Linked DNA regions of Schizosaccharomyces pombe. The protein of the gene in region 2 interacts with the protein of the main gene of each other region in a pairwise test. Each region holds a gene or a part of one and is shown on either strand. Other genes may lie near its edges.

Region 1 (11,339 bases), on a different chromosome or scaffold from region 2:
ATACTCCTTTATATCATTGATTTTGAACATTCGCCGAAATGTTTAGTTGGGCTAATATTGGGTCCAACGAGTATTTGCCTTTGAAAAATGATCGAAAGGCTTATTTGAATCAATGGGCAAAACGATCGGGACTAGCAATTGCCGCTATTTGCATTTTAGGAATTCTGATATTGGCAATTGTGAAATTATTTTGCTTCAAAGCAATTATTTTTCCTATCGTTGGAGGTTCCTTCAACAATGGGACCAATGTTTTTCAGTCCACTGTCATCGTAATCTCCTTGGATGGATTCCGTGCTGATTACTTATATCGTGGGTTCACACCTAATCTTCTGAGCCTGGCTGAACGTAATGTCCATGTTCCCTTTTTGATTCCTTCTTTTCCTAGTATAACTTTCCCTAATCACTATACTATTGTTACCGGTTTATATCCCGAGAGCCATGGAATCGTTAGTAACAACTTTTTTGATCCTGTAACTGGGAAGCAATTTGTCAACAGTATGCCTGAATGTAACAAAGACCCAACTTGGTGGGATAAAGGGGAGCCTATATGGGTCAACGCTGAGCGAAATAACGTTCGATCAGCGGTACATATGTGGCCTGGAAATGAAGTGGAGAATCATGGTTACAGACCTACTTATTCGGATGGTTTCAATTTTGATACGACTCTAAGAGAAAAGAAAGATAGAATACTCGAATGGCTGGATCTTCCTGATAAAGACCGCCCTCAGTTATTACTTGCTTATGCTCCCCATGTAGATATGGTTGGGCACGCATTTGGACCGGATTCGCCTGAACTGAATATCATAATTCAAGAAGTTGATATCGTAATTGGTGAACTAATTGAAGGACTGAAGAAAAGAAATATCGATAAGCATGTCAACATTATTTTTTTAAGTGATCATGGAATGGCGCCTACATCCGATAATCGTCTTATCTGGCTGGATAATATGTTTAATTTGTCTGCCGTTGCACACAGAGATGCTTGGCCGTTAGGAGGTTTTAGAGGAGAATCTGATTTAGATGATGAGTACATTTACGAAAGTCTTGTTAATTATTCTCGCTCGTCATTACCTTCTGCTGAGAATTGGAATGTTTATTCAAAGAAAGATATACCTTCTCGATGGCATTACTCAAATAATGAAAGAATAGCTCCCGTTTGGATGATCCCGGATGTTGGATGGTCTCTTGTCTCGATGCTGGATCATTCACCGGAGTTGGAGTATGAGCCTTTGGGTGTACATGGTTATGACAATTTGTCTCCAGTGATGAGAGCACTTTTTATCGCTTCAGGATCTTCTTTTAAGAATTTTAAGGGAAAGAAGCTTGCACCGTTCCAGAACACCGAAATTTATGGCATTCTTTCGCATATATTAGATTTACCAGCTCAGCCTAATAATGGTACATATGAAGGTGCTTTACCTTTAAGAAGAAATCGTAATTCTACTAAGGAATGGTTGCTGAAGGACATAGAACAAGCATACTCTAAGCTTATTTAATTCTGCTGTTTTATCACTATCTTTATATTTTTTAATATTTTTAATTTCCTTTAGATTATATTTAATACTTTTTTTTAATAAACGACTTTATTTGAATAGCAACAATAACTGTATTCCGATTTTTAAGAATCGTAAAAGAACATCACTTCTTCTATTTTTAATTAAATGATGGTCATAACTTTGGTTTCACTTTGGTACTGCTCATCCATGCAAATGTCTAGTGATTGTTAGCTTGTTCTTATACCTAATTCATTCCATTAATACTTACCAATTTTCGAGCAGCCTCCGGGTCCACCATAACATTTATGAGAGATACAGATGAGGTTTGCCATGCTTTCCTGAGGGAACTTCTCAAATCTTCTTCATTCTTTACAAAGAAACCTTTACCACCACATGCTTCGCAAATTTGATCATAACGTATACTAGTGCCTAAGGCAGTAGTCGGTAATTGGTGATTATCACGTAAAGTTTCATAAGCATCAGTATCTAATCCATGGTAAACACCATTATTATTGATTACAATTACCAAAAGATCCAGCTGGTTGCGTATGGCGGTTTCCAGTTCCATGGCGCTAAAGCCAAAAGCACTATCACCCTCAACTACCACTATTTTGTCGGATGAATGGGCAAATGCGCTGGCAATAGCATATCCCATACCAACTCCCATTGTTGACATAGTGCCTGCATCCAGTCGACCACGTGGATGAGTTACTTCTAAAAGCTGACGGCCCCGGTCCATTGTATTGGCGCCTTCAGAAACCCAAGTGATATTACGCTTTGATTTGAGCGATAAGCTTTGTAGCTCCTCATTCACGACATACAAAGCATAATTCATTTGCAACGGTATACTGGACTTTCGAGATTCAAGAGCCTTTTTCTCATTCTTGGATCGGGTTTCATTTAACGTGCGAAGGTAAGGGGTCGAGATGCCAACACTGTACTTCCAAGTTTGAACGAGCTTAAAAAGACAATCTATTGTCAGACCTACATCAGCCCAAATTGCTAAATCCAAATCTGCAGCATTGTTTCCTAAAGTTTCAGCATTGGTATCAATTTGAATAAATTTGGCATTAGGAGACCACTTTGGTGGAAGACCATATTGAAATATCCAATTTAAACGTGCCCCTGCTAAGAGCACTACATCTGCATTACGAAGAGCAGCTGACCTTGCCGAAGACACATTTAAGGGATGCGATTCTGGTAACAAACCTTTGCCCATGGGACTCGGAAGAAACGGAATGCCAGTATGTTCAACAAATTCCAAGAGCTGTTTTTCAGCGCAGGCATATGCGGCACCTTTACCAACGACAAGCAGAGGTGCCTTTGCATTTTTTAAATAGTATGCAGCCTTCTGAAGCTGTGTTGGATCAGGTGCACATTTGGGAGAACTAGGAATTGGGGGTAGAGGGTCTTTAGGAAAGTCATCGACAGTAGATTCAATATAATTTGCTGGCAAGTCAACATAGCATGTTCCAGGAGTGCCGGTCATGGAGACACGATACGCTCTTCGAATGGAATCAACAACCATTTTGGGACTTGGGGGGCGCACGGCTAATTTCGTATGAGGTGATAAGTAAGAAACCTGGTCCAATTCTTGGAAGGCCCCACAGTTTTGCTGAAATGTTTCACTGGATCCAGCCAAAAGCAGCAAAGGCCATCGATTGGTTTTAGAATTGAAAACACCGGCCATGGCATGTACAACGCCAGGACCGCCTACCACGACACAGACCCCAGGGCGCTGAGTTAAATAGCCATAGGCAGTCGCTGCATAAGCTGCGCTTTGCTCATTGCGAAACCCGACAAACCGAATTCCACTTGCTTGGATAGCCTCACAAATTTCGATTACGGGAATGCCAACAATGCCAAAAACAACTTTAACCTCTAAGTCCAACAATGTCTTAGCTACCAATTCCGAAAAGCTTATAGACATTGTTATTACAAATTAATATGTACCTCTAAATTGAATAATATTGTTCACCAAACAAAAGCGATGAAAAGCTCAATGCAAAAGAAAGACAGAAGAAAACAAGAAAAGACTAAAGCAAAGTAAAGGTGGGTTTGGTTCCAGTAGCTAGCAATACCGTCCCTATTTCTCAATAAACTGACAAACTGAAGTGTATGTCACTCTGTAAACCAAGTGTTCTATACTTTAGAGAGAAAAAGAAGTTCTGATCTAGATGAGCTTAAATAACAGCAATGCTTAAAAAATGATGGATGAGCAATCCTGTATTTGAAATTGCTAATCCCTTATGTAACCGAGTACTAATAATCCAATGTATAAGCCAATTTGGTAAAATTCCTTAAAGTATTTAATGTATAGTAAGGAATACGTTAACAGGTTTTAAATTTGTATCGTTAATAAGTTAAGATCCACACATGTATTCAATAATGCCACTTAACTCAACGGGGACCTTTACGGTTCTATGAATACTGATTCGATAAAATTAAATGACTTGGCAATTCACCGTCCCTTCAAATAAGACATTGTGTTTCTTATGTGGTGCTTTATTCCCTTTTTTTTGCTACATTTCTACCTGCGTAAGACAATATAAGATAATAAAACAAGCCATATAGTAATAACCTTAATATAATATTATACAGGTAAGATCTTTTAATAAATGATCATCATTAGCAGGTAGGTTGGCCTATTTGCTTAATCTCGCAACAATTTTTTACAATGTCTTCCTGTAAGTACTTTAATACACACAATTTTCATAATTTTTTATTTATTATAAACGTAAATAGTTCATCAAGTGGCCGGATTGGAAATTTGACATAGGATAAGTGATAATTTAGTTGTTTAACAACGTAAATAAACATTAGAAAATTCGGAATACACTGAGTTTGTAGTTTGTACTCAGTATTATGCTTCAGTACTAAAAAAAAATTCAACTACAAAACCCACCGAATTGTAAGCTAGGCAAATTTGAGGGAATCAGACCTTTTTCATATACTCCACAAAAAAAAAGAACCAAAATGTTAGGAGTAATCATTATAAGTTAATATTCGTAGTTCATAAGTATTGCACGTTTATCAAGAGCAATCAATTCATAAAGGATGTGCGAAAAAAAAGGAAAACATTTAGACATTGACACGAGTGGAGGACCATTGTTTCGTGTTTAGATCTCTATTGTGCAAAACGCGCTTTCCTGGAGGAGGGGTAAGATTCAAAAACTCGACTTCGTTAGCCTCACAAACAACAAGAGAAAATCTACCCCAAGCAGTCTTCCAAGCTTCAATAACCCCGGGATCTTCTTTTCCAGTGAGGGTAGAAGGTAAAGGTGACACCTTCACATCGCCTTGGTATTTGGAGTATGAAGGAGGAGTAGAAAAGGAAGCGCGAAGTTCAGGACTATGTAACTCCCAAATACGTCTTCTTTCCTCTTCCCAAGACCATTCTTCGGGAATGCGGCCATTGCTGTTTATTAAATGATCCTGGATCAACTTGTCTGCGGGAAATTCATTTCGGTCGGCAAGTTCTGGTGTGTATAACCAAATTTGACCGGAAATACGAATTTGCTGCATTGTCTTTGGTAACCATCCACACATTTCAAATGCGTTCGGTATGGGTCCAGAGGGGAATGTATTTTTTTGCTGCTCAGCAATCTCAGCAGCTTTGTGAGAAGCAATATCCGTAGAGAATACCAATAAATCTGTAGCTAGCACATCATCGGGACGTGGTTTATGCCATCCTGTACCGACAAATCCTCGAATAGCTACAGTACGATTTCTGGGGTAAATTTCATTACCAGTGGGTAAAGTTGCCAGCTGGAAGTATTCGGGATGAATAACTCCACTGGAGTCGACATTTTCTTTTAAAAGCTTCAATAACTCATTTTTCCAAGCGAGGGACATGTTGGCAAACGATGAAATGGGATGCACGTATGAATCCTATATAAGTCACTTGTTTGACTGAAACGTCATTGACTTTGCTAAGTGTGTCGTACTAAAGGTCGCTCGCTATACAGAAATGATCTCTAGATATCTGTATAAGGCACAACTCTAAAGTTCGGCTAAACTTACTAACGAAATCGTGTGTGATTTCTGAAAAAGCAAATTGTACGTTATCGTGGATTACACTAATTTTTTAAAATATTCCTCTCTTCATCTGCTCAAGAGAATTGGTAAATAGTAAGAGTAAAATCATTTAATATTAGTGCACAGAGAAAGGAAAATAAGAAAATAAAGACAATAACTAGTAACTTAAAACAAAAAAATAAAACTTTTAACTAACAAAAATGGTTTCCCCTTCTAGATCTTCAAAGAACATTGCAATCCATATTCCGTTGTTCAGTACCTTAATCTGATTATTCACAGAACAATGAGCTGCCATCTAGTTTGCAAATTGATATAGAAAAGAGTATGCATTGTCTGTGTACAGGTTTCCAACATTGAAAAAGTGAGAAATGACAGCTTGCATATCCTAACAGATTTCTCTCACACCATTAGTGAGGATGCCTAGTCAATCAAAACCTGTACTTGATTTCAGCAAACTTCGTCCTCTTATCTTTAATTAACATAAGATTAGTCATCTAAAATTTCAACTTTGATACCGAAAAAAGCGGCCAACACCTTCTCGCATACCGGGGTTGAACATCGGAATGCCGAAATGCGATATCAATGAATACATTGTAACATCAGAGGATAAAAACAATGATAAAAATAATTTACAAATTAAATTGTCTCTGTCAGGCGTATCACTTGGATTATGACCATTTGCTTCACATTGCCTAGCAAACTAAGAAGGCAAGCGAGGTTTATGCCTAGTTTTTGCACATCTGTAGCTTCCGCATATTCAATTCATCCCGCATCATTCTAGAAAAACAAGGCGACGAAAAGCTGCACAACGGGTATGAAAATCCTAATAACGCTTCGCCTCCAAAGGAACGTCTATGAATCCGCAGGATCCTACTTGCCGCGCTAATTAACGAGGTATACTTGATTTCGCTGTTTCACACAAATCAATATTTCAATGTTCTCTTGTCTTTGCGGAATCGAACAAACTATACTTCGATTAACAAAAAAAAGAAGTTCGTTAATTTCATTTCATCGCAAACGTGTTTTCTTAGTTTTTATTCTCAAAAACGAACAATCTACAACGAAGAATTGTTTTCGATCTTTAACCCACAACAACAAAAACATTTAGTAAGTGACGCTAAAAGTCAGTTCGATCACACTTGAAAGTACACATATTAAACGCTGAATGAATCAAATCATAAATAATTATTGTATGTAATGACCATTTTAAGGTGTTTTCATTAATCCTTTAAATAATCTCTCTAAAGCGAGATAATGACAAAAGCAATCATAATTACAAAAAGCAAGAACAATATACTTAAAATTTTTGCAAGGTTTGTCAATCAATATTTGAAGTCCACCATAATTCACAACTCAGTAATGTACAAGGACGTGAAGGTTATCACCAAAATCATAAAAAATCCATCAACATCTCAAGTTGAATAATAAAAAAGGTAAACAAAGGAGAATCAGGTACATGTAATGATTAACATTAGGTTAAAGAAAATTTGAAAACACAGTTTAAAAACTTAGGAAAAACATAAAAAAACAACAACAAAGCAAATCAAACTCGAAAAAAAAAAAAATCTGTCGCCAATCGTGGGGATAAATGAGTGTTGAAGAGTAATTTGAATTAACCAAATTCAGCATCTTAAACGACCGGTTGTAAACATATTATCTAAGGTTTAAAGTCCTTCAACATTAGGGGATTGGGCTTGTGATAAACAATCACAATAGACAATTTCGTAAATAAACTAGATAAATAAAGGTATAAATACATGCCACGACCGTAAGAACGTAACAAACAAGAATTTTTTTTTTCGAGAAAGCAGCTTATTAAATACATAAAGTTTGATATCGAGAGCTTCAAAAATGTTCCGTAAAAAAAAACCGCAGGAAAACCCTGCCTGTTGCATATCTCAATATCAAAAAGGTAGACGAGGTAAAGCAAAAAATAGACTGTTTTTGATAGTTTTGGATAGGGGATACTCAACTAAATTGAGGACTTGTATTACTTCACTCTATTTGCTTTGATAGAGGGAAGCACTTCAAAGTACGGGAAAAGTGTGGGCGTCATAATAAATATAACTATTCAAACCGTAAAAGCTGGAAATTCATCACTAACTTCAAGTTATCGTAAATTTGGGAAAACTAGAAGACTTTGATAGACAACTGGTATAAATGTCATAAAAAGGGGGAAAGAAAGGCTAGGTACTTTGACATGTTGAGACTTTTATGTAGAAGAATTTTTTTCATAAAAGTCAAGTAAGTAAGCTCGAGCATCCTTATAAAAGTCGTTCACAACCGACAGAGATTTGCTAATCAAATCCAATGCAATTTCCTCGCTCGGTAATTTCATTACACCATCACGACTGCGTAGAGATCCGTAATTTTGGATACGTTCACAAACCTTTCTCATTTTTGTAAGGCCCAATACAGCTGAAGATCCTTTAAGGAAATGCCCCAACGAGGAAAGCTTCTTCAAATCCTTAGCCTCTAGGGCCTTTTGGAGGTCGGCAATGGTAGTCTCTGCCTGCTCAAAATAATTCCAAACAATACTCTTACTAAATTCATGCTCATCATCATCATCCATCTCAAGCAACTGGTCAAAAACGGAATGATCAATGAGCTGTTTGTCTTGGATGAGTTCATCCTCAAATGACATATCGTAAGCAATTACTGAAAGTTCATCCGACAAGACACCAGCCCCAACCAAAGCTTTGACTGAAGCAGCGGGAAGATTTTTGGCATTCGCATGGTCATCGCTAATAGAATTGGAGATGTCAACGGTCTCCTCCGTGCCTTCAGGTGCGCCAGCCGTCTCATTAGCAGCCAATTGTTGATTGTTTTCACTTTTGCTCGAAGATATACGTGACGTTAGAGCAACATAAGCAGGATTTGAGGTCAGTGGTAAAGAAGTGTCATTCGCTCCAGAACCATTCATAACCCGATAAGCATGGGGGATCGCTGACCCTGAAGGAGAGCGTGCACGTTCAGCTATGCCAGAATCGTGAAGAGTCTTAGCAAGACTAGCGTTACGCGCCTGTCCATTTCTTCGGGCGACACGATTTTCGAAGTTTCGGTCGTATTTCATATACATGTTATCACGATATACACTCATTTTTTAGAAAATAATTAAAAGAAAATCCAAAAAAAAAAGAAAAGGGTTTAAAGTAAGAGCGAATGGAGAAGCTCAGCTAAATTTTATCAGCAGTATTACTTTGCAAACAGTAAAATGTAGCAATCGATACAGAATATTGTATCAGATTTAAGACTTTCCTTTTTTAACAACGATTTGAAATTAAAGCGAGGAAATGTGAGTTATTGAAAGAGGCGTCGACAACACAAACAAATTATAAAAATAATGTGTGGTATGCCAGCAAAATGAAATAATCAACAGTTTCACTAACCTGTAGTACAGTACAAGGGCTATTACCAAAAGAAGAAAATGGCTTTACCACACAACCCACAAATACTAAATAGGATTTGTGGATAAATCTCCTTCAACAACGATTCTAATGGAAAAGAGTCAATACGGTTTTGGAGCTTTTTTTGCGTGTTCGAAACTTTGATGCCAAGTTTTAGACGCCACACAAACTTGCCTTCAGCTTCTGCTAAGTTCTAAAATTATCAAGCTCTACTAAAAAGGCGATATTATTGTTTTCGTATCAATTCAAAAGACAGAAAACCAATCCTCACAAGATTGTTAAGTGCTCTCTCTATAATTAAGTTCAAATGCAACAAGGGTAAGGCAGAGAGTAGAGACTATGGTTTTGCCTGTGCTTATGTCTGATTTTTAGATATTCTAATGTAGTAAATGGGAGACGGAAAGTAGGTAAATGCCGCGAAAGAATTGTTTGCAAAACTCACACTTGGGAGTGACGCCATGCAACGTAATAAAGCAGTCAAATGTACCGATACACAACCACCCAAAACGATAAAGTATATTAATATAATGACGCTACGTCTCACTATACCCCGAATTTCAATGATTCCTCCATATCAGTCAGTGTAGAAAAAAAAGACGAACTGGAGATGGAAGAACAGTTTCCCACCATCTTTGGCATTTTCGGCCATTTCCTAATAAGCGCAGCAATTCCTGATGGCTGTAGCATTGCACATTGGGAGGGAAGAATGATACTCTTTTTGCAGATATTTATTTCGATATCACTACATAGGGCCTATCCTAGTCATTGGAAAGGTGCCAATTTCCAGCGATATTCTCCTATTTTTAGAAATAATTAAAAGCTTTGCACAAATTTCATTCCTACCTCACTTATTTCGTACATCTCAGAAGTTTGATGAACTTGGGAAATCCCAACATATGACAAATGCAATGGGAAAGATAATTGATAGTTTTCCAACGAAAAAGTGGGATTTAATATGTATATGAGAGAGGATAGTAAAATGTGCCAAATTTTGGGTTAACTAGAGGCAATCTAAAGTATGAAGTAAGTGAACTACTAGACAAACATCTACAGAAACAAAGTATGGAAATAAATGAAGATAGACAAACGAAAAGCATACTATTTCGAAAACGAATCAATATTTAGTCAATTTTTAGATCCAAAATCCATTCATTTAAAAACAGACCATGCCATCTATTTGGAAGCAAAACTGTAGTTATTCACCTCAAAGCGAAAGTATAAGGAAAAAAAAATAAGCCGAGACAATTAGGTTACTAAATACGTCTTCTCATGGTTTCGGAGAAATGAAAAGGGAAAAAAAATTAAATGTATACAAATATATGTATATGTATATGTGTGTTTGAGTCTGTCTATATGTATGTATAATAAAATAAAAACAGAAAGAAGAACAAAAAAGATTCAGAACAAAGAATCAATCAAAAATCCATCTGTCTATATAATAAACCAAAATCTTTTCACTTCAATTTCACCACCGACTAATTCGAAGTAACGGCATTGATAGCTTCGGCAAAGTATCTTACATTGGAAGTGTTGAGACCGGAGATGCTAATACGACCATTCTTAGTGAGGTAAATGTGATACTGTTTAGCCAAAACATCAACTTGCTGGGGATTTAAACCAGTATAACAAAACATACCAATTTGGTCAGTGATATGCTTCCAGCTGTGTTTATTCTTAAGGTCCTTTTCAAGGATGTTGCGAAGAGCCTTACGCATACTCTTAAGACGTTCGGACATGCCTACAACTTCACCAGCCCACTGTTCACGAAGTGCAGGGTTGCTCAATATATGGTTGGCAATTCTGGCCCCATTGACGGGAGGGTTGGAATACAAAGCACGAATGAGAATCTTAGTTTGGCTTTCGATACGAGCGGCTTCCTCAGCATCGTTGGCTAAAATGCTAAAGCAGCCAGCACGTTCACCATATAGACCCATGTTTTTAGCAAAGGATTGGCAGAGTAACATGGGGACATTGCTGGAGGCGAACAGACGAGTGGCATAAGCATCACGAGCAAAATCACCACTGGCAAATCCTTGGTAAGCCATGTCTAAAAGAGCAAAATGGTTTTTCTTTTGCATTGTTTTGAGGATATCATCCCACTGAGCTTTCGTAGGATCTACACCAGTTGGATTGTGAGCACAAGCATGCAATAATATAATAGAGCCATCAGGAGCTGAAGTTAAATCGGACAACATGCCTTTAATGTCCAACCCACGAGTAGCAGGATCATAATACTTGTAGGACTTAACGGTCAAGCCAGCTCGAGAAAATACATTCTTGTGATTTCCCCAAGTAGGGTCAGATACGTAAATAGTCTTTGATGGATAAAATGAAGCAAGGAAATTAGCTGCTATACACAAGGCACCGGTACCACTAATGGATTGAGCAGAAACCAGCC
Region 2 (12,916 bases):
ATTCAATGTATTGTAATTTAGGTCTTAATCGAGTTTGAAATGTAGAACGAATAAAATAATGCTCATCTTTTGAATAAAAAAGGGAGGAAAAAAATGGTAAAGATTGATTAATGAAAGTGTATGATATGAATAAATAGTACCGTATCCGATTGTTCTCGAATATGTGTGAATTATCTGACGACAGTGTTTTAAAACTTCATTTCAAGTCCTTTTTTAGTTAAACGGAATGCTCTTCCACAAGTAGTCATAAACGAATCAACCAGTCCGGCTCCTATGGCGTCGCAAAGTCGAAACTTCCAACCAAAAAATGCTTCGTTCTTCTTTTTGCAAGCTACCGAAACATTGCGATTATATAGTGACGATTCAATTACTTCGCGGTACGGCCTCTTTTTTAAATAATTTGACAAGTCGTTTCTGCTGTTACGCAAAATATGAGTAAAAATGCCAAGGTTGGGTAATGAGATTCCGTAAGAGTCAGTGCCAGCAAGAATAAGAAAGCCCATACTAATCAGCAGTCGTCGTTCCTCCCAATTAAATTTCAACTCCTCGGATGTGTAGGAAGGTAGTGGATTTTCAATCAATAGTTTATGCAACTTAAAGATTAGCGTATAAATATGTTCCTGATCTTTGAACTTGCACAAATAGTATGTAAATAATTTATCAAACTCAGGTCGCAAAATTAAGCAAGACTCACCACAGAACTTGTCAGATCTATTTAGGTAAAGACGACGGATGTCTCCTGTACGTATAGATTGTTCTAACTCTTCAGCAACACTGGTATAGTTTGATTGAAATAAGCCTATCAACTGTGTTTCCACAATCATTCGCGGACACTGTGCAACTAAAACATTCGTTTGCTGGCGCATTTGAATGTCACGAAACATTTCCTCAACTAAAACTTCTATAGAGTTTCGTATCGTTTTGTTTCTTAATACAATCAATGGAGGAACATTGTACGAAATGATGTTTAATGGTGATTGACCAGTACACATAGATGCTTTAGAGTGGTTTTTTTCAATTGCTAAAGAAGTCTTTCTCCTTTTGCTAAACAGTCTGTCTATTTTAGTCTGTCCATTCTTCTTTTTATTTATTTTTAATAAAGCAGGCATTGCCAAGGTAGGTAAGGGAAGTAACTTACTTTACAGAAATTTCGTTAGTCGAGTTTTCATCACCTTCAACATTTAACGCAGTGATTTTTTAATTGCCAGCTACGCAGTTTAATAACTATTTTAACGATACGAAAAACTGCAGTGAGTTTTCCTTGCGACTTATACAGTAGTACAGGAAAATAAGTAGCAACTCGTTAAAGATATTCTAAATTTGGGGTTACAATGTAACCTATTAGTAAAATAGTTTATAGTTGGGCTAAGGAACGAGGTTTAGTGGTGGCTTCATTATAATCTTTTTAATGGTTCATAACAGTGGGAGTCTATTTAAATTAATAAAAGGGTGGTTATCGGCAATTATCAATACACGGATTGAACTAAAATCCTAACATATGGCATACAGTGAGTGTTGCACAACTGTAGTGTCAGCAATACTACACTACGCTATGATACATTACGTTGCGTATCACTATATGTCATATGTTGGAATACTAGCTAAGATCCGTTTATTGATAATCACGGGTAACTATCCGTCTATATACATAGATACCCGTTGATAACAACTATTTAGAAATATTATAAATAGCGTTACAACTGAACCTCGTTCCTCAGTTCAGTTATGAGCTATATTAGTGATAGGTAACATTATAACCCAGTTAATACAATACCTATACTCAGTTGCTACTTATACAACCTGTGTATTGTAATATAATAGACCACAAGGAAAACTCACCGCAGTTCTACGTATCCTTAAATCAGATACCAAACTGCGTAGCTTACATGTAGCTAGTGTAGTATTGCTGACATGTAAAATAGTAATACTATATAACGTAGTATAAGTATTGATGCATTATCTAATCGGTTGTAGGCAAAGCCAGTAATTGAACTAAATATACTTTGTACGACGAAAGGTATTGATACCAACCAAGAACTTGTTTTTTCTTTCTGGACTGGCTTATAGCATTCCCCTTGGAATTAGAATAAAAATCCTGTCTACACAGTGAACAAATATATGTAGTGATGCATAGTGAAGTGTAGCATAATTTACGCTTATGGTAAGGGAAAAAATTTGCTCCAGCAGTGACTTGAACACTGGGCCTCTTGCTTACTAGGCAAGCGCTCTACCACTGAGCTACAAGAGCTAATTACGAATTACCTAAAGTTTGCATTTAACAATGAGAATGTATCCTCGAATTGATTATTTGACTGCTTCCTATACTTTAATTTGGTTTGTATTTCAAAACTGATTGATTAGCACACAATACAATTTTTTTTTTAACTTGCCAATAAAATACACATTACATTAAACAAGGGGAATATGTGATATTTAATATTATTATACTGGTTCTGGGCGCTGGAAATATAAATGCATTAAAAAGTTAATAAAATAAAATATGAGATGCTTAGATAATTATTATTTTGGAAAATATTCAAAATAAGAAGTTGTCAATTTAAATAAATATAGGCACTAAATAAGCTTTTGATCAAAACAAAGAAAAAATATAAAGTAAAAATAAAAGCATTAAAACAGTGAGATCCTTTCTAAAAATACAAGCAAAAGTGAGTGAAGATTAAATATCAAATCATTTGTGTAACTTTGATTGGTTCGTATAATTAAGTATGCCAGATATGATTAAGGACAAGTGTTGCAAAGTAATAGGTTTGGCAAGGTAAGAATCAAAACCACTATCTTTGCAGCTTAAAACAACATGAGGTAAAGCATTCGCACTAAGTGCAACTATAGGAACTTTAGGGTAATCGTTTTCCAATTCGTATTTACGAATTTCATTACATGCCTGGTAACCATCCATAACAGGCATTTGTAAATCCATTAGAATAAGAGAGTAAAAATTAGGCTTTTCACGTTTCCATTCTTCAACACATTGCAAACCGTCCATGGTGACCTTGAATTTGACACCAATTCTTTCAAGGTAACGGCTTATAACCTTAATATTGATAATGTTGTCTTCCGCCAACAACACGCTAAAGCCAGACTTTGCCAGATTATATCGGAGTGTTTCAGCATCAGCCTTCTGCTCCATTGCAGCCTTTCGAGTCATATCATTAAGTGCACCGATTTTCCCCTTTTCCTCAGAATCAGAATAAAATAATGGAAAAAACTTGGATGGTTTCACAAGTTTTAAAACGTAATGGATGCTTTCCGAATTACAATCCTCGCTATCTGAAAAAATCTTAGATAATGATTCTTTTTGTCGAGTGGAAGTCACCAAAATAAATTTTGTATCCTTGTATAGACTACAAAGTTGCAGTGATTTGACAAATAAAACATATGCTTCTATGTCCGGAAGATTTAATATAATATGGGTGACCTTGGATTGCATAGGATTCTCTAGCAATTCTTCAAAGGCTTCATAGGTATTTCCATACCTTACGATATCTTTAAATGAGCTTATATCGATAATTGATTGAAGCATGTTGCCAATCGCTTCACTACTGTATTTAGTGTGTGATACAACAACGGCTAAAGCACTTTTATCCAACTTGATCCCAGAAGGTTTGTTTCTATAGAGTCTCCAAAATAGAACTGTGTATGGATCAGCAGATGCGCCGCATCGACAAAATTCCGATTCAGAAGCGAAAGGATTCACATATTTGTTGGATTGAACATTTTTGTCCGATTCAAGTTTACGTCGGTTGCTTTCTCTTCCGGGATCTGCTTTATTTACGGCCAATTTTACAAAATTCGTCGCGCTTTTATCGTTTCCATCGTCTGCGCAATAATAGTCTTCTGTGCTTTGTTTGCTTTTTTCGTATGGACAAAAACAGACTGGACAACAACCATCTGGGGGTTCAAATTTTAGAGGAGTTTTATCCATTGTAAACGTTGCAGTCCACATAAAGCGCGTTCCCACGCCTCTTCTACTTTGACAGGACATACTACCATTATGTAGCTCAACAAGCTCTTTTGAAATAACTAATCCAAGACCTGAGCCACCATGTCTTGGTAATGTAGAACTCTCTACTTGAGAAAACGGTTTAAACATTTGTAATTGATCATCTCTGTTAAACCCTTGACCGGTATCAATGCATTCCCACTTTAAAACAACAGTATTGGTTGAGTAATCAATCTTTTCAACGGAACAACGAGTAAAAACTTCACCAACATTCGTAAATTTAATAGCATTTCCGATCACATTCAAAGCAACTTGCCTCATTCTCATATTATCCCCAAATACTATATCAGGAACATCAATGTCAACCGTGTAGTTCAATTCTATTCCCTTTGAAAAAGCGAGGGTACCTAGAGTTTCGTTTGCATCTTCCATCATAGCTCGTACAGAAAAGCGTTGGCTAGTTAGCTTCATCATTCCAGCTCTGACTTTACTAAGGTCCAAAATATCATTGATAACAGTCAAAAGAGACTTAGCTGATTGCTGAATAATACGTGCATAACTCAGCTGTTCGGCAGACATTTGAGTTTCCAACAAGAAGCTTACCATGCCTGTAATACCGATAAGAGGGGTTCGAATTTCATGAGACATATTGGAAAGATACTGCATTTTGCTCCGAACAATTCTTTGAGCTTCAATGTTAGATTCTTGGAGCTTTTCTTCCAACATTTTATGATCGTGAATATCAGTACAAGTTCCTAACCAGAGATTAGTAGACGTATCAGCAGAATTATTTACGCAAACAGATTTCACCAAATGCCATCTATAATGACCATCGGTAGATCTAAAACGTATCTCCGCCGCAAACGTTTTGGTACCATTACTTTCGTCTTGGTTATTAAACGTTCCCTCCAAAGATTCAGGCAATAAACATTTCTTGCGATCAGCGTGATATACAGCAGATAAAAACCCAAGTCCCAATGAAGATTCCAGTGAAAGACCTGAATAACTTAACCACTGCGCATTTGCATAAATAATTCCATTTTTACCATTTGCGGCAAAAACAATTTGAGGAGAAGCTTCAGCTAAAGACCTGTAGCTGTTTTCATTTGCGGCTATAGCTGATTGTTTTTGTAGTTCTCGTTCTGCCAACTTTTGATCATGGACATCCGTCATTGTTCCAAAAAAATGTAGCACAGATCCAGTGCAATCCCGTAAAGGAACCGCGCGACAGATAAAGTATCGATAAACATTATCAAACCTTTGCAAACGAATTTCATGATAAAAACCACTACCAGAGAATAATGAAGATTTCCAGTCATTTAAAAAGTTTGGCAGATCATCAGGATGAATTCGACTAAATTGTAGCTCTATTTGCTCATTCATATTTAAACCACAGTAAAGAAGAGTTTTTCTATTAACCCATGTGAGTTTTCCACTTCCCGGATCCGCAGTAAACACATGAACCGGTATAGAATCAATTATAACCTTTAGTAAGGGAAAAGGAGGCGCTTGACCACCACAATGCCCTTGCACATACTTGTGAGATTCAGAAGTGCAACAGGCATATGATTTTGATTTATCTAAAACAATTTCATCCTTCTTTAGAGTAATAGTTTCATTTGAATAATTTTCACCATCATTTAGCGAGAATCTCAAATTCTCGTTCACTTTAGAATTCTTTTTGCTAATTCGAGACTTCAATCTAGCTAGCAAACGATGCTTCTTTAAAGTAACCCATGATCGCTGGTTTTTTTTAAAAAATTCAGAAGGAACTGGTACAAACCTAGGCAATTTAGGTATGTTATTAAGAGAAGATCCTTTAGCATTGATATTGCAAAAGCTGCCTACGCACTCTCCTTCTTTATGAGGACAATCAGAGTTTTCGGAGCTCGCGCTCATACTCAACTCCTTGGTATTGTCAGTGCTAGACGTGTTAAATAATAGATGCCTTTGTGTAGGACAAGGAAGTAACGGAACAGATTGAGAATTTGAGTATGAAGAAAAAATAAAGGGTATCAAACGTTCTATGGAGGCTATTAAATTTTCCGGATAAGGAACTAAATTGGACTTGAAAGAAAGAATTGCAATTGGAGCTCTCCCACGGCTTGAAGTTTGATCCGAACAAGGAAACATCAGAGGAACATGTACAATACTGACAGCAGTTTCAGTAGGAAAACTGGTGAAGTCGTTCAAATGATCTTCTTGACGCCTGTTACCAGAAAAATTCATACCTTTACAATCATCATTAACAGCTGTTTCTGATACGGACTCTGAAGCAGACTTCTCTGTTGACGATTCAGTAGCGAAAGAAGATTCTTGCAAGCAATTTTGGAAGAATGGATTCCTATTAGGATCTGTTTGAATGGAGGGACTAGCAACTGGAGATCTTGACCAAGGAGAAAGTAAATTTTGTTCATACTCATCATAAATGTTTGAAGGTTCTTCCGAAAAAGACGAACTTTGTGCTTTTGAAATGTCACTTTGGGAATACGGTTTACGATTCTGACTGAAATGTGAAACAAATGCTCTCTTTTTCTGTGGATAAAGTCCATTTAACTGAGCTGCAGAAGCACTAATTTCAACCTGCTTTTTCAATTCATTAAGTTTTTCATCATGAAAAACTTTCCATGAATTCTTAATGCTGCGAATATCATCAACATTAGGTATAGAACTAAAGTAATCATTATCATGAACCTTGGTGTTTTTAACAATGTGCTGTTGTTTACGTGTATATACAAGCAATGTCGCACGCTCCAAGACTGTTTGTACAACTTTGCTATCAATAAGCAAATCCCCTTCATGTTTAAGAGAAGCTGGATCTTTGTATATAATACCCTTTGAACCATCCGAAGCAACTACGGTAACATAAGAACTGCTAGCAAGGTTGTCATTAACACTTATAGGGTTACTATACGGATCATAATGGGAACCGCCATCGTAATAACATCTGAGTTGCCAAGGAGTATTGTATATGTCAGAAAGGTCACGCGGTTCTACAACAGATATTTGAGTGGAAAAAAACTGCTGAGCGAAAAAGTCAATAATGTTTTTCCAGAAATTCATCAAACCGGTTTTAAAGACCAATAAGCAAGCCATTTCATACACATTTCCAATGGTACGGTTACGCTTCTCCTGTAACTGCTTAAATAAGTTAGCGGATGAATCTGTTTCAAATGGTTGCTCATCAGTTAGTGAGTGCGAAGCAGAAGTATTATCGTTGTTCAAAGCATTTCCACAAGAAGAAACGGATGGAGCAGGTGAATGGCATAATGAATTTAGTGATTCCCTAGATTTTTGAGGAGAATAGCAATCTGAACTCATTGAGGAGGTTTTAAATAACTCATTGGGACGTTTGGATGTCATCAATCGATTTGGATTTACTCGGGGAAAATTAATAAGTCGCTCATCCTCTAGTGAAGGAGAAGATACATTATTGAAAGAAAATGAATTTCGATGCTGCCTATTTAAACTGGTGGGAGATTCAAGTATCGGAGAATGAACAGAGCCAACAGAAGAGTTTTGAGAATTAGTAAACGATCCTACAATTTTTGATGATTTTTGCAGCTGGTGGTCCATGGCCTTATTCAAACGTTAGTAATTTAAATTAATTAAGTAACAAGAGATATCACATTTTATTTCATATTTAAAAAAGGAGAATCCAAGTATTGAAATCACTTACCTCTTTCAACTTTTCCAAGTGAGAATTAGAACCAACGTTATTGTTGATTTGATCGTCAGGTGGCCTCATTTTTTTAGACTAAATTTACAGGCCAGTATAGATACTAAATAAAACAAAGTTTCCAACTGTAATTACCAAAAAGAAAGTGCTATCTTATAAAGATCGTTTCAAATAAAAAACTGATGTATTTGAGTTATTTGACCACGGCAACCAGCAATGGAAATTATAAGCGTACCATTTAAAACGCTTTTTTCCTAGCGACTTTACAGCACTGAAGATTGGTAAAAAGTGTTCGAAATAGGGAAATGAAACAACTCAACAAGTTGTGTTAGCAAAATGTAAATGGATATTGAAGATCGCGTAAATGTTGTTTAGCGAAGATTGGTGGCTAGTAAATATGATCGTTCTGTTAGAAACAAGTCACTACACTATACTGTGCTGCGTTAGTTCAACTTTTCATAATATTCATGATTCTCCGTATTTCCATCCTTAGTGTAAATCTTCTATACTAGTAGTTTTATAACAATGCATTATGTTGATACATTCAAACCTTCTTTCCTGACTTCAGTTATAAGCCATATATGTGTGGTTATGTTAGTGTATTCAATATCATAATTATATTGATACAACATTTTACCATCTACGATAAACATCCTACATAAGATTATATACATCGCAAGTAACACTTAAACTACAGTTCGTTGTAGCTTAAAAAAGGTAATGATTGCTTAGCCAATAGTCAATCCTTGCTAAAGAATAGTAGTCTCAGATTACTAAATTCGCTGATTATATTATAACGGTAAATTTTTATTGAATTGTTATTACATCATCATTTGAGATGTTACACATTTGCTGAATAAGCATATAAACAATGCATTGCTGCGTAGCTGTTTTCTTTTATATTATAATGCTGCAGCAATATAAAAGAAGCTGCATAAATAATTAGTCAGAAAATTAGTTTATTCAGAAAGCAGCTAGACGAGATGCAATATTTCATGATTAAATGTGAGCTCAACAACTCTAAAGAAATTAATTAAACATATATAATCCTTCGCAAAGCAGAGTAAAAAAGTGTAGCTTTTAAGTGCCCCCTTGAATTTTCTTAATTACTGTTCCATTTTGAGGTCGCTCTTTGGAAATTAAAGCTTTAATCAATTTTCGTTGAACATTTACTAGAGCAGCCAGTGAGGAATCCAAAGTACTCAGTTTTTGTAAAAAATTGTTTCTCTCGTTATTTATCGAAAAATTTTTATCTTTCTGTTCTATTGTAAAACCCGGTTTGTCATTTAATGAGTTGTTTGCAGTAAGATTTGAATTTACTCTGTGGTTTTTAACAAGCTCAACATACCGCTCCTGAGCATCGCCCAATGCAGTCATAAGGTCTGACAATTGCTGTTTAGTGGATGATAAAACACCATCTCGTTGTTTAAGTTCAAGTTGTGCTTCAGCATACAAACGATTGATAGAATCAGAATCAAAGTTATGTCTGTGTATCGAAGCAACTGTGCTTTCGTCTCTGTCATTATTACTTTCCTGAATTGTTCTATTTCCTTGAATGATTTCTGCTTCCTTTAAGTTGGATTTTTCGGCGAGATTTGACAGTGTGAGGGAATGCTCGCCTGACCATACGTTAGAATGACAATTATTATAGTCTAAGTTATTGTTAATTCTGGCTCCACAAACGCAACGAGACAAAGCATCTTTATAAATATACAGCTGTCTTTTCATTTCATCAACAGAAAGTTCTGAGTTTACTACCGCTTTGTTTTTGATGCTCTTTGCACGATGTCCAAACCTAAGAGTAGATAAGGTCTCTGTTGCATTGTATGAATCTGGTGAACAGTTAATAATTAGAGTGGTCCGAGAATTTCCACCAAGAGACTCTTTTAAAATACGCGTTAACTTGGAATCTCTATAAGGAACATGTGATAATTTGCTGTCTGTGAGAGAATTAATAACCATTCCAAGAGTTGAAAGAGAACGGTTTATTTTCTTTGCTTCTTCTAAGGTTTGCCCGACTGCTCCACTTTTTCCTACGCTTTCGGAACCTGCCAAGTCAACTAAAAACAACCGGCCTCGTCGAGTTTCGCCGGACTCAGTGTCCGTTTGGACAACTTCGAGTACAAAAATAGAATGAGACCGTGAACTTTGCGCATTCATCGACGTACTTGCAACGGCACGTGACCCCATACCTTTATTTAAAATATCCAATGCCTCCGTTTCACTTGATACGTAAATCGTTTTTAAACCTTGAACATAAACTCCCTGAAGTTTATCTTCATGAACCGTCAGTCTGTCATTTTTTTCTGTAAATCATGGTTAATTTTGCTGAAATTAAATACGAACGTCGCAAAATTTCTACGGCATTTGAAGGCTTACCGGAAAGTAGATCATGAATTTTTTCCATGTAGATTTCCATGTATGATACCTTCACTTCGTATTCAGTAGTAGATGGTGAATCGCGGATTTTGTCAAAAATACGCCTGAGCATTCTTGGAGTCATTCCTTCTTTTTCGAAATTATTTTCAATACCCTAAAGATTGTTAGAAAAGTGTGCCAGGTGAAATTGTGAATATACCATCATGGTGTATGTTTTGCCGGATCCTGTCTGTCCATAGGCTAGTACTGTTCCGTTATAACCCAAGAATAAGTCTATAATATATTAGTACATATTTAATGAAATTCAGAACAACTTGAATGTGATTCGAACAATGTATTAAAATGGCAATTCGTTTCAAATGAAGCGTCAAAACGAGCGCATATAAAAAAAGGCTATGCTATAATTTCATACAAGCTGTTGCTGACAACGATGAAATTAATCCGTTCAACGCCGTGTAAAGTTTTACTATCATTCACATACCATCGACTGTCGATTCAATTGAATACGAAAATATATCATTCTGAGTGCTAGAAGGATGAAAAACACGATCGAATACAAAGTTTCCTGAGTAATCACTAGTCTTTTAATCATGTCAGCCGAATTCTAAAGTAAAGATCAATTGTTGAAACCTACCTCGATATGAACAGTAGAATCGTTTAATGGGTATATCACATTATTTCCTCCAAGGTCTTGTTCCAACTGGTTCGTGGGCCGAATTCGGCACACTACTTTAATTGAAGTCATTGAGTAAAACTGCTTTATAAAAAGATAAAAAATCAAATAATGTATGATTAAAACGCAGTATATAAATTAGATCCATACATCCAAAAAAATCATTAAAGACAATATGTGAGCGGGCTAATTTCATATACAGGGAAAGACGAGGTTAACCTAACATGGTGCCTCTACAATAATTGTTGTTTAAGGCAACGTATCAAAAACAGAATAATATCATGTAATTAACTACATAATTGTTTAATGTTAAAGCTCGAAGTGTGAATTAAAAAAAATAAATTTACAAATCAACAGGCTAAAATTGTTTACTTCCTTCTACATATTCTTTTTTTCCTGATATTATTTGAAGATTTACACATGTATAAAATTCTTAAGATTGTTCAATCTTGATTCATATTTTAAGCAGAGTATTTTACCCTTCGTCTGATTAATATCTGTGACGAAAATTGGATTGCAATTTCTCACATATTTATTTATGAAAATTTGATTAAATGGTAAGAACGAGAAACCTCGCAGGTATTTATTTATTTTTTTTTTTAAATTAAATAATTTTTTTAAATTGTGAAGTTTATATGGAGATTTGGATGTATTTGCAATTTACAAGTTTATCCCAGATACTATTTCAAACATTAGCATTAAAAAACGTTTGTTTTACTACTTTGTATTTCTACTAGCTATACCAACCTACCAATTCATTTACCGAAGAGAAAAAGGTATGGAAAATGCATAATTCATAAATAGATCTACTTAGTACACTTGCTATCATCTAAATGCACCTGCGTTTCAATACTTGATTACTTATGTATAATCGAGATGTAACAACCCCCACATTGGTATCACTTCAGGTATAAGTAAAGGTAATTTGAATACTCAAGAAGTGTACCTTAATAGTATTCAACTGAATATGAAAATAGACCCCCACTGTGGACCATCGCCTGGCACCCACTTTACTTACCCTGTCATATGCCATAAGTTTTTAGAGAAACCGAATTCCATAATTCCGCATGTCGTTTCTGTTCAATAAACGACCAAAATCAACCCAAGATGTTGTTCGCTGCTTATGTGATAATCTCCCAAAGTTGGAAATAAACAATGATAAAAAGAAGGTATTAATTATTAGTAATTGTTGTTTTTGTTCGTTTAGATGACTAACGTAAACAGTCCTTTGAGGAAGTTTCCAAATGTTTACAGAATTTACGGGTTTCATTGTGTGGGACAGCTGAAGTAGAGCCTGATGCTGATCTCGTATCAGACTTATCTTTTCAAATTTACCAGTCGAATTTACCTTTTTTACTCGTTCGATATTTACCGAAATTGGAGTTTGAGTCTAAAAAGGATACAGGACTAATATTTAGCGCTTTACTTAGGAGGCATGTAGCATCGAGATATCCCACTGTTGACTACATGCTTGCGCACCCGCAAATCTTTCCAGTATTGGTCTCATACTATCGATACCAGGAAGTAGCTTTTACTGCTGGTTCTATCCTTCGTGAGTGTTCCCGTCATGAAGCCCTTAATGAGGTACTTTTAAACTCACGAGATTTTTGGACATTTTTTAGTTTGATACAAGCCTCTAGTTTTGATATGGCGAGTGATGCGTTTTCGACTTTTAAGGTACGTATTATCCCCAAATAAAACTTCTGTCGTTGCAATGTTTTTATATACTCCCGCTAGTTTTGCATTTACTAACTTTAATCAGTCTATTCTTCTTAATCATAAATCCCAAGTTGCTGAGTTTATTTCATACCATTTTGACGAGTTTTTTAAGCAATACACTGTCCTTTTGAAATCTGAAAATTATGTTACCAAACGTCAATCTTTAAAGCTTTTAGGGGAAATTCTTCTTAATCGTGCTAACCGTTCAGTCATGACACGCTATATTAGTTCTGCTGAGAATCTGAAACTAATGATGATTCTGCTGAGAGATAAGAGTAAAAACATTCAATTTGAAGCTTTTCATGTTTTTAAATTGTTTGTTGCTAATCCTGAAAAGTCGGAAGAAGTAATCGAAATATTAAGGAGGAACAAATCAAAGTTGATTTCTTACTTGTCAGCTTTTCATACTGACCGGAAAAATGATGAGCAGTTTAATGATGAACGCGCATTTGTAATAAAACAGATTGAACGCTTATGACTCTTGTTACTCACCAATGTGCTCATG

What was found.
Region 1: the proteins of mak1 (region 2) and mpr1 interact in a two-hybrid assay, tested with the Schizosaccharomyces pombe proteins (one study listed by BioGRID).

Annotation. Positions count from the first base shown.
Region 1 is NC_003423.3:1,201,052-1,212,390, reverse strand, and holds mpr1 (histidine-containing response regulator phosphotransferase Mpr1), read right to left. Parts: upstream 9,340-11,339; 5' UTR 8,635-9,339; coding exon 7,747-8,634; 3' UTR 5,618-7,746; downstream 1-5,617. Other genes in the region: npp1 (nucleotide pyrophosphatase), read left to right, coding at 39-1,496; 2-hydroxyacyl-CoA lyase Hac1, read right to left, coding at 1,669-1,713, 1,765-3,426; SPOM_SPBC725.03 (pyridoxamine 5'-phosphate oxidase), read right to left, coding at 4,578-5,351; aspartate aminotransferase Maa1, read right to left, coding at 10,417-11,339. UniProt on the Schizosaccharomyces pombe protein: Binds to the msc4 response regulator which is part of a multistep phosphorelay system that transmits oxidative stress signals to the spc1 MAPK cascade.
Region 2 is NC_003424.3:4,704,763-4,717,678, reverse strand, and holds mak1 (phosphorelay sensor kinase Mak1), read right to left. Parts: upstream 7,971-12,916; 5' UTR 7,710-7,970; coding exon 7,641-7,709; exon of another isoform or gene 7,541-7,640; coding exon 2,690-7,540; 3' UTR 2,418-2,689; downstream 1-2,417. Other genes in the region: mug51 (variant protein kinase 19 family protein), read right to left, coding at 189-1,109; kinesin-like protein Klp3, read right to left, coding at 8,721-9,946, 10,020-10,173, 10,219-10,292, 10,501-10,600, 10,654-10,764; mo25 family protein Pmo25, read left to right, coding at 11,760-11,861, 11,917-12,369, 12,455-12,889. UniProt on the Schizosaccharomyces pombe protein: Involved in the control of the SAPK-dependent transcriptional response to peroxide stress. Also has a role in G2/M regulation.